Linked DNA regions of Oryzias latipes. The protein of the gene in region 2 binds, or shares a complex with, the protein of the main gene of each other region. Links are inferred from orthologs where the notes say so. Each region holds a gene or a part of one and is shown on either strand. Other genes may lie near its edges. The genes, in order: thoc7, thoc6 and sarnp.

The links.
Region 1: the proteins of thoc6 (region 2) and thoc7 are in contact, whole or in part, in a cryo-EM structure (PDB 7APK), measured with the Homo sapiens proteins. The link is inferred for Oryzias latipes from reciprocal best matches to the Homo sapiens genes THOC6 and THOC7. Residues at the interface, in NP_001334633.1 of Homo sapiens: Asp229, Trp232, His245, Thr252, Gln268, Asp269, Gln284, Leu285, Ser286; in NP_079351.2 of Homo sapiens: Lys110, Arg113, Lys114, Gln117, Glu118, Ala121, Leu122, Val125.
Region 3: thoc6 (region 2) and sarnp share a complex: the UniProt entries of both Homo sapiens proteins name them as parts of the transcription/export (TREX) complex. The link is inferred for Oryzias latipes from reciprocal best matches to the Homo sapiens genes THOC6 and SARNP.

Annotation. Positions count from the first base shown.
Region 1 is NC_019863.2:16,703,260-16,707,062, forward strand, and holds thoc7 (THO complex subunit 7 homolog), read left to right. Parts: upstream 1-1,303; 5' UTR 1,304-1,323; coding exon 1,324-1,411; intron 1,412-1,635; coding exon 1,636-1,756; intron 1,757-2,182; coding exon 2,183-2,310; intron 2,311-2,402; coding exon 2,403-2,489; intron 2,490-2,583; coding exon 2,584-2,641; intron 2,642-2,730; coding exon 2,731-2,797; intron 2,798-2,900; coding exon 2,901-2,970; exon of another isoform or gene 2,971-3,047; coding exon 3,048-3,109; 3' UTR 3,110-3,205; downstream 3,206-3,803. Other genes in the region: interferon-induced GTP-binding protein Mx, read right to left, coding at 3,516-3,740. UniProt on the Homo sapiens protein: Component of the THO subcomplex of the TREX complex which is thought to couple mRNA transcription, processing and nuclear export, and which specifically associates with spliced mRNA and not with unspliced pre-mRNA.
Region 2 is NC_019866.2:286,687-289,489, reverse strand, and holds part of thoc6 (THO complex subunit 6 homolog), read left to right. Parts: intron 1-880; coding exon 881-929; intron 930-1,008; coding exon 1,009-1,080; intron 1,081-1,141; coding exon 1,142-1,244; intron 1,245-1,316; coding exon 1,317-1,366; intron 1,367-1,456; coding exon 1,457-1,519; intron 1,520-2,803. UniProt on the Homo sapiens protein: Component of the THO subcomplex of the TREX complex which is thought to couple mRNA transcription, processing and nuclear export, and which specifically associates with spliced mRNA and not with unspliced pre-mRNA.
Region 3 is NC_019865.2:25,904,798-25,909,038, forward strand, and holds the start of sarnp (SAP domain-containing ribonucleoprotein), read left to right. Parts: upstream 1-1,369; 5' UTR 1,370-1,385; coding exon 1,386-1,496; intron 1,497-2,328; coding exon 2,329-2,428; intron 2,429-2,515; coding exon 2,516-2,559; intron 2,560-2,828; coding exon 2,829-2,899; intron 2,900-3,133; coding exon 3,134-3,185; intron 3,186-4,241. UniProt on the Homo sapiens protein: Binds both single-stranded and double-stranded DNA with higher affinity for the single-stranded form. Specifically binds to scaffold/matrix attachment region DNA. Also binds single-stranded RNA. Enhances RNA unwinding activity of DDX39A.

The DNA.
Region 1 (3,803 bases), on a different chromosome or scaffold from region 2:
CTAAGTGCTGAATCTGCACATAATGACTGTATCCAAATCCTTTTTGAGATTGTTAAAAAAGGTGCTTTGCTTGTATTTTCAAAACCATAACACACTCCCACTTAAAATGTTTGGTTAAATCTAGGCATGAATATGTTAACCTCTGATTTCTAATTGGCAAACTGCTGAAAGTTTGTACTGTTTTCCTGTAAATCTAATATACGCGTGAACCTTTGTTAAATAACAAAACTCTATTTGCCCACACGGCTGGTGTTCTGGTGAGAAATAGAGCACATTAAGTTTCAAACAAGTTTCATTGTAATTTTCTAAGGTGTAGGAACAAACATGAAATCAGACCTGAATTGATCTGTCAGAAAAAAAACGAGGAAGTGGTGACCAAGAAAATATGTTGGCCAAATGAAAACCTGTTTAAATCTATAGTTGAAGCAGGTATTGTACCTATAACCGTACCAGTAACATTACTATTTATGAATTATTATAAATGGTGAAATTAAAGCTAGATAGAAATCTTTGTCCTCAATAGCCACTTAGTAGCTAAAGGTTCTTATAGAACAGAGGTCTGCAACCTGAGGCTCCGGAGTTACATGCAGCTCCTTTATGATTCCATTGTGGCTCTTTGGTTTTGAAAAAAAAACGCTAACGATTTGAGTTACTAATAATGTTTTGGGGTTGTTTTTTTTTTTTTTTAATTTATTTATTAAACTTTCTTTTATTTGGATTCTGCTCCAATGTTGTCATGTTAATATATGACTATAAAAGTAGAAAAGAACGAATATGCAGCAAAGTCTGACTGATAGAAAAGTCTATGTTTGACCTGACTTTCTTACATGTTTTATTCAAGTGAGTCTGTTGGAGGATTTAATTTGACATGAGGTTTATTTCGTTTGAAAGGAACCTATATATGCTGCTGTCAAAAGTAAAGGAAGTTAATATTTTAATAGAAAGAAAATGATAAAACTTTCATAATTCAATTATTTTAATATCTAAATGCTACATGGTAAAAATGAATGGTTTAATGGTAAAACAAAATATGTAATGTGCCATTCTCGATTGATAATTCAGCTTGCAATTTAAGCATTCAATCTAAAAAATGCATTTTAGAATTTAAAATTCAATGTGTAATGCTACAATGTAAGCTGACATTTTTAAAAGCAAAATGTTAAATAAAACAAAATCAATTGTATTCTAAACTGTCATTGGTTTTTAGTCCAATAATATTCTGCAATATAATAAAAGTTCAATTTTGCTGTTGAGTCTAAAAAGCACAAAAATGTGGGAAAAAAATTGCCACATTGAATGTCCACCAATAGGGGGCAGTAGAAAATGAAACCGCTGATTTTAACCTGGAAAAAGAATCTTGCTCTACCGGAAATAGTATTGCTCATTGCAAACATGGGGGCCGTAACAGATGGTAATTTGGTGGTTACTTCGTTTAATATAAAGTTTTATTAAAAATAAATAAAGTGTTTATGTGTTAAGTTATTGTATACAATAGCTTATTTCTAGAATGTAGCAGTGTTTACGCAATCAGTTGGGAGAACTGTGCAGCTAATTTATTGCCCTGCAGTGCTAGCTCAGATTAGCAGGTTGCAATCTAGCCTATAGTTTATCTTGTCTCTTTCGTTTCTGTTAAAGATGAAGTCATTCGGAAACGTCTTCTTATTGATGGCGACGGAGCCGGAGATGACCGCCGGATCAACCTGCTGCTTAAAAGCTTCACTAAATGGTGCAACTCGCCCGGGACTCCGGAGGAAGGGTCAGTGCTGAATGAATCTGAGTCTGAGCTGACGCATCAGAAGATTTACTTTCCAGATTTTAATGTGATTTAGCATTTACGAACAACTCTTCTTGCGAAAGAAAAGTCACATTAGTTAGTTCTTACGTTGTGTGTACAGGCAATTCCAAGCTAGTTTATCAAACTCCATAGAAGGTTAACGGGTCTCAGTTGCATGCAGTTATACTTACCCAAGGAGAAGAGTAACTGTCTTCTCTACAATCTATGGCAAGCAGAGTGTGACACACAGCACAATGTTTCAACTCTGACCATGCATTTCAAAAGGCTGTTTCTATACATTTCCATGATGTGTTTTTATATACCCGAAGAGTAGAATGGTGTCTTCCTTGTTAAATATGCAACAAAAAATCTCACTTTAATTCCTTGTGGTCTTGTGTTTGCGTGTAGATTCACACAGTACCAGCGGATGTTGGGCACTCTGGCTCAGTGTGAGTTTTCCATGGGAAAGACGTTGATGGTTTATGACATGAATCTTAGAGAAATGGAAAACTATGAGAAGATCTATTCAAATATAGGTGAGGTTTTATTGCTCTCGTCTGGAAGCATTTCTGTTTACAATATTAGATTTCATCTATATACCCCCCCCCCCACCCTCCCCCCATTGCAGAACAAAACATCACATCTGCACATGAGAAGATTGCAGAATGCAAAAAAGATATTCAGAGGGCAAAGAGGATACGAAAAAATCGCCAAGGCAAGGATATTTTGATATGGATTGCATATTTTATTTATTGTCCTTTTTCAATAACATCCTTGGAGTATTATAAATATGTTTGTATTTTTTCCAGAATATGATGCATTAGCCAAGGTAATCCAGCAGCATCCAGATAGGCATGAAACACTCAAGTAAGTGGCTCCGTTAATTCAGATTTTCGATTGCTTGTAAACAGCGTACAACAGTTTTGCTTCATTTTTATTTATTTATTTTCTTTCAGGCAGCTAGAGGCGCTTGACAAAGAGCTCCAACAACTGTCCCACATCAAAGAGAATGTGGATGCAAAGGTATATCCAAACAGAATTTATGCAGCTTCTGTGTATTTCGCTGATGATTTGATTTATTTTAAAGTTGTTGTTTTTTTCTATCAAATTTACTGTTCCACCATAGTTGGAGTTGAGGAAGAAGCAGTTCCACGTTCTTCTTACCACCATTCAGGAGCTACAACAGACACTTGAGAGTGAGCACTTTATTCTTAATGCCAACTGATTTTAAAATTGTTTCAAAAAGTTAAACTCAAAATTTGTCTTCTTTTAGATGATGAGAAGTCAGATATTGAAGATGCCAGTCAAGAGAGCCCTGCAGGGAACAGTGAATAACAGTGGAACAGAATGAAATGTTCTTAAATGAGTTTGGGTTTGTGAGACAGAATGCTTTTCGTATGTATTTTTGAATAAAATTCTCTTGATTCTGTCGCTCTGTCTGGTTTTCCCTTTTATTGTTTCAAATAAAAATAAAAAAATCAAAGTTCACAGACTGATAATAATTTCCCTCTATATATATGCCCAAATAAAACAATGAACATAAAAACATGCTCCACACTCGAGGTGATTATAACAATATATAAAAGGAAAACATCTGTGTGCCCATATAATGACTTTTGCTGCTGTAAGATAATCATTCCTGTTAGAAACAGCAGATTCTACTGGACTACCCAAACACAACAACTGAACATTTACACTAACATGTAATTTGGAGATGCAGAAAACAGATCCTTCAAAGTTTTTAGAACTCTACTAGGTATGCACGGGCCTGCAAAAGGCGCTTAAGGCGATTCTGCAAAGTAGCCCTCTTACTGCCGATGTCAAAGTCCTCCTTCAGCAGGAAATCCAAGTTCTCCTTGTCCTGAATCATCTGCAGCATCTCTCTCTGGAGCTGGCTGGCTGATTGTTGCAGCATTTCATAACGGATCACCAGGGGGATTTGATCAGCTAGACGCATGCCAGCAATCTGCAGGATAATGTGGAATAAAAGATAGAAGCCATAGCAGCTATGCATACATTTAGCTAAAAT
Region 2 (2,803 bases):
CACAGACGCACATACACAGACGCACATACACAGACGCACACACAGACGCACACACGCAGACGCACACACACAGACGCACACACACAGACGCACACATAGACGCACACATAGACGCACACACAGACGCACACACAGACGCACACACACAGACGCACACACACAGACGCACACCCAGACGCACACCCAGACGCACATACACAGACGCACACACCGACGCAAACACAGACACACACACACAGAGGCACACACACAGACGCACACACAGACGCGCACACACAGACGCGCACCCACAGACGCGCACACACAGACGCGCACAAAGAGACGCACACACACAGACGCACACACAGACGCACACACACACGCACACACAGACGCGCACAGACGCGCACACACAGACGCACACACACAGACGCACACACACAGACGCACACACAGACGCACACACAGACGCACACACAGACGCACACACACAGACGCACACACACAGACGCACACACACAGACGCACACACACAGACGCACACACAGACGCACACACACAGACGCACACACACAGACGCACACACACAGACGCACACACACAGACGCACACACAGACGCACACACACAGACGCACACACACAGACGCACACACACAGACGCACACACACAGACGCACACACACAGACGCACACAAAGAGACGCACACACAGACGCACACACAGACGCACACACACACAGACGCACACACACACAGACGCACACACACACGCACACACAGACGCGTACACACAGACGCGTACACACAGACGCACACACACAGACGCACACACACAGACGCACACACACAGACGCACACAAACAGACGCACACCTGCACAACCACCCGTGTTGTTCCTGCAGCTCCAGTCTGGAGATCCCAGAGATCAACGCCATGGCGTTCAACCCACGGGTGAGACGCACGCCACTACACGCACGTGCACATGCTGATGTACACACTCACACCAAGCATTCCGCGTGTGTGTCATCAGGACAACAGTCTGGCGCTGGGGGGCGGAGACAACAACATTCACGTCTTGGACCTGGAACATGGCGTCTTTAAGGTGCGTTCGAGTGCTGTGTGTTCGTGGCAGAGCTCCATCTTCCTCACCTGTGTTTCTGTAGGCGGTCCTTCACGGACACACGGATTACGTGCACTGCTTGTGCATGAGAGAGCGGGAGGCGGAGCTTCTGTCGGGTGGAGAGGACGGAGTGGTGAGGATGTGGGGTGAGTGACAGCTGCCGTCTTTGAGCTTCATCCTTTAGTGACGATGATGATGATGATGATGACGCTCTGCAGACAGCAGGACCGGGCGGTGCGTTCACTGCCTGGAGGTCCACAAGTACGAGGTGAGGTCTGGGGGGTTGGCGGGGGGAGGGGGGGGGGCTCGGATCCATCAGGCTGACGGACGGGTTCTGATCCTCGTGCACGTCTTTCAGGTGTGCGCACGGCCCCAGCACGGAAAATGGATCAGCTGCCTGACCACCGACTCTGACTGGATGGTAAGAAGATTGGAGGCGTTCGGGTCACTGGGAACGTTTCCCAGCCCTTCCTCACCGAGGAGTCTCCCTCTGTCAGGAGTCTTCCTCAGTCAGGAGTCTTCCTCAGTCAGGAGTCTTCCTCAGTCAGGAGTCTTCCTCACCGAGGAGTCTTCCTCAGTCAGGAGTCTTCCTCAGTCAGGAGTCTTCCTCACCGAGGAGTCTTCCTCTGTCAGGAGTCTTCCTCTGTCAGGAGTCTTCCTCTGTCAGGAGTCTTCCTCTGTCAGGAGTCTTCCTCAGTCAGGAGTCTTCCTCAGTCAGGAGTCTTCCTCAGTCAGGAGTCTTCCTCTGTCAGGAGTCTTCCTCTGTCAGGAGTCTTCCTCTGTCAGGAGTCTTCCTCAGTCAGGAGTCTTCCTCACCGAGGAGTCTTCCTCAGTCAGGAGTCTTCCTCAGTCAGGAGTCTTCCTCAGTCAGGAGTCTTCCTCACCGAGGAGTCTTCCTCAGTCAGGAGTCTTCCTCACCGAGGAGTCTTCCTCTGTCAGGAGTCTTCCTCTGTCAGGAGTCTTCCTCTGTCAGGAGTCTTCCTCTGTCAGGAGTCTTCCTCTGTCAGGAGTCTTCCTCAGTCAGGAGTCTTCCTCTGTCAGGAGTCTTCCTCAGTCAGAGGTTCTGAGGTTGTTCTGTTGTTCACCTGCCAGCTTGGTCGCCACAGCCAATCAGCAGTCAGATCAGCACAGGTGGTCAGGCAGAGTCCTTCAGGTCACAACCCCGTGTTCTACCTGGGCTGGGGACCGGCACAGGGAGACCGCTACCTTGGTAGGCAGTAGTGTGAAGCAAGTTGACCGTTAAAAAATCATTTAAAAACGGATAAATCAATAATCGATATCGGACGATACCATCGATTGAGGTACTGCAGGTTTATGTTACTAGAAGATAAAACCGACCAATCACAGCAGACGACACACGTGTGATGTCATCAACACAGAATAGTCCATCATTCCAGTCCAATGTGTGGACAGACTGTGAATAAAGTCATGTGACCATCCAGTGTCTAGAATGTTCTAAGAATGTTCCCTTTGGATTCTTTGGATGTGGAAAAACAACAGTGGTGAACTTTAGGAAACTAACATGTGAATGGATTTGACATTCATTCTAGTTTACTTGTTGGTTTGGACACAGATTTCATTAACTTGATGATCTGGAAGAAATCCAAGAATCTGGAAAACTGTTCAGGAGCAGGAATTTCTGTCTGGAAGTTTAGATGAAGAGGATCTGGATCCACTTTAGGACAGAGGATCTGGATCCACTTTA
Region 3 (4,241 bases), on a different chromosome or scaffold from region 2:
TGTGTCATTAGAACAATCGCTCACACATTCTTGCTGAAACAATGGAAGGAATGCAACCATAATGAGGATTATGGAAGCACTTGTGACTCCCTAAATTCATCCGGCTTTGTCCTTCATGCCCACAACTTGAAAGTCAGTCTATTGGAACTTTTTTTGTCTGTGTATCGTATGCCGAGCTGCAGCTTGGGTTAAACCTCTTTTTGAACAATGTCAGCATTCACAGCAAATCCAGTTTGAACACGTTTCATCTGTTTTGTGTTCACCCTGACCCCGCCTCGTGTCTCAGTCCATCCACGCCTGAGACCCGCTGGTGTTGGGTTCTTTCAGCCGGTGGCGTGTGTCAGCTGACCCTCTTTAAGAGCCAAGGTCAATGCTGTCAGTTTTTGTTCAGTATTGTTGTACTGTGATTGAATTTTTTTTTCTCTCACCACGAGAACTGCAACATAAATATAAAAAGGAACAAAATCTGTTTTACCTCTGTTGTGTGTAGTACTAAAACAGAAAAACTGCTTAAACTAGAATTTTATTTTTATTTTTTTTTGGTTAAACTCTCATTAATTGTTCAAACATTTCATACAAGCACCTGCATTCCTCTGTAAACCTCTCAGACTTGTAGATGGTTTTGATTCCTCAGTCCAGCCTGAATTTATTTTTTACAAACATGGCCTGGTCAGGTGAGTTAATAGTTTTGAAACCAATGTGTTAAACAATGAAGGTGACATTTTAGGCCTATCTGACATTTTAGATCTGTGAAGATCCACACCTGATGATTCATGGAAAATTAGGAAAAATAGTCTTTATTTATTTGCCACATGGATGTAGCAAATAATTTTTTCATCAGACAGTAATATAATTGTGTTTTATAGATGTGGTTGAAAAAAATACATGTTTTAGAAAGTTCCAGCATGATGTCAACTGATTTAAATGTAGCTGTTACTCAAATACATGAATGTGGATCCACTGCATAAACTGCTTCCATTATTCCTCCAGGTAAAGAAAATAAAAGAAGAAAATTAACTTCTAAAAAACATCCACAATCTATATGGCAAAGATAAGATAAAATGAACTGAGAACAAAGAAAACAGTGAGGAATGTCTACGAAAAAAGTATAAATAAGGATAAAAAATGTTAGTAAACACTTTTTATCTGAGGCTAAATTGAATAAGTATTATAAAATCGCATTTTAATCATGATTTTATATAATAAAAAGTTTGTTAAGGTCTTAACACGTCTTTTACATTTATTTTTACAAAATTTTGCGGCGATTTATTAATTTTTATTTTGAACAAAATCTCTACAAGTTTGTTTAAAATGCAGCAGGACCATCTGCACGGCGTTAATATGCCCGACAGGAGGCGCTGTGATCAATGACGTCGTTGTGATCAATGACGTCGTTGTTCAGGAGCACAGAGGAAGAAAAGCTCGACTCTGATTGGACGGCAGGAATACATCAACAGAGAAAGATGGCTGAAGTGGTGGAGCTCCAAAAGCTGAAGGTTGGTAGAATTAAAAATACGTTTTTCCTGACATTGGGTGAATTTCTTTGTGGTGGAAATGATGAAGTCAGTATTTACACCGGAACCAGCTAGCGGGGTGGCGGCGGGCTGCAGAAAATCGTGTTCTCCGGGTCTTAAGTCTACGAACCGGCATGTGTTCTGAGCTAATCCGGGCTAAAAGAACGACGAAGGAAACGCGGAGGGAAATGAACGGATAATCTGAGAAACTATCTTTCAACCCACCAGTAATAAAGTTCGACGTAAAACAATGAAAACAATCAGTTACAGCAAAAATCGAGAGGTGGGTAAATGGACCGAACCACAACCGCTGTTTGGAAAGACAAAATAAAAATGAGAGATTTTTTTTACTTAACTTAACTCAATCCTGCATTTCTGCTTTTCAAAGCAAATGTGATGAACGACCATTTTGAAAATAAGTAATCGTAACATACATATATATATATATATATATATATATATATATATGTATATATATAAAAGGAAAAATAAAATTCTAACAATGCACAAATTATTGTTATCAATTTAAACTGATTTAGTTCAACAGATGATGAAATCAGTTTATGTAGGTGCTTTCAGATCGTGGTAAATTTATCTTTAATAAAAAAGAACCGTCCTTTCGTTTACAGAGTTTTATGGAATAGTAAGAAGGTTACTGATGTGGAGATGGAAAAATATATATATATTTTTTTATAGTTTCAATTACACCAATATTTCCAAGCAGGTGTTGGCTGATCTATGTTTTACTTTTTTTGAATCACGTCAGTAAATTTTAAAACCAATTGTTAATTTGAGGTTTCATCTTCCCTTTCAGCTTGCTGAGCTGAGGCAAGAGTGTGACGCCCGCGGTCTGGAAACCAAGGGAAACAAGGGCGAGCTGATCGCTCGGCTCCAAGCCTACCTGGAGGAGCACGGTGAGAACCGGGTGACCCGTTTTTGCACATCAACCAAATGTTGTTTCCTGCCAGCTCATATTGTCTGTGTTGTCATCCAAACCACAGAGGACGATGTGGATGTTGATGAAGTTCTGGCAGAGGACACACCGGTAATGTCTTTTATTCTATCCGTTCTCTTCTAGTTTAGCAATAAAACAGAAACGTTCAATCAATGTTTGTTGAGAAAATCAATATTGATTTGTCAAATACACAAATCTATTCATTTTATTGATTACATTTCTTCAGGCAGACACAGCTCACACACAGTTTTTAGTTGAATAAACTCCAAATTTTATCATGAAATATTGTTCAGGTTTGTTTCTTCTGCTTGTTTGTTTCACAAAAGCAGTATGTCTGTTTTTTTTTCTTTTCTTTTTAGGAATTCACTAAAGTTGAGAGCTCCAACAGCATAAAGGAGGACAACCACACTGAAACAATCGCAATTCCAGAGTAAGTTAACTGTACAACAAATGTGCTTTTTCCTCTTTACCTTTCAGATTCCTCTTTGCGTGTGAATAAAGTTATCGTTTATCATTAACTATTATTGTAAGATAGTAACTTTTCAGGGAATTACAGTCGATGTTGCTCAGATGAGAACATCAAAAAAGAGTTCAGCTGGATCTGCTGGACTGTCATGTTCTTAGTTTTTTTTTTAATTTTTGAGAAAATAAATTCTACCTTCAGGTCTGAAGACAAGAAAGTGGTGAAAATCTCTCCTCCGTTGTCTGCTGGTGAAGTAAGTATGAGTCGTTTTCATTCACAAATAAACCTTGGTTTAGATTTTAGATCACGTCTGAGCTCTGAAATCTAATTTTAGAAGAGAAAAGCTTCAGAAAAACACTAGTTGACCTCAGACTTCACCTTTGTGCTCGTGTTTGCTCCTTTGGTTTGGTGTTTTTAGATTAAGTTTTGCTGAAATCTCACTTTGGGTAGATGCTAAAGCCAAACTGTTTAATACAAAAACATCTATTTTTCTGAAAAATAAAGCAAATCTTTCCTAAAAAGTGGAAAAACGAATCTGTAACTTAAATTTAACCAAATAAGAGCACAACCTAGTTATTTAAACTTAAATATTTTGCTTTTTTAAAGGACTCCATCCATTCATATTATTCATCATACTTGATGAATAATATGCTCTTACTCTGATAAGGACTGGATTATGGTGACTTTGCAAAAAAATAAATAACAATAGTGGTAGGATAACATCAGTGGCGGACCGTGCATTACACACCTGGGCCTTCAGTAGTGCAACGTCTGAATCACTCAACGCCTCATTAACCATATTATGATGCAGAAACTAGCTTTGCATTGCAGATTGAAAATTCCTGCAGCCACAATCAGTGCCTCTAAATACAGAAAACAGTAAACAAATCTTGTTATGCAACTACAGCCAGCACAAAACATTACCGCTACCATAACCACATCAATTAGGAATTTATTTATGATATTTAGATGTTCACTCATCAGAAGATGAGATTATTTGATGACAAAATCCACCCTCCTCTCTTTCCTCAAACAGTTCCATCATCCTGTCATGTAGATTATTGCTCTTCAGTTCCGTCAAGAAGTCATTTTCTGCTCGATCAAGGCCAGTGCTGAGAGCCCAGTCTGTCCATTTGTGTTGCTGCGTAGGTTTGAATTCACTTTAGATCCGAAAATGTCCGCTGGTCAGACGCAGTGAACACGGGGATGGTTGGTGCCAAACGCACAAATCTGTATGGCTGTTCATGCTCTCACTTAGATTTTTATTGGTTACTGTCTTTACTGTCAGGTGTTTTGGATAAAGCAATTG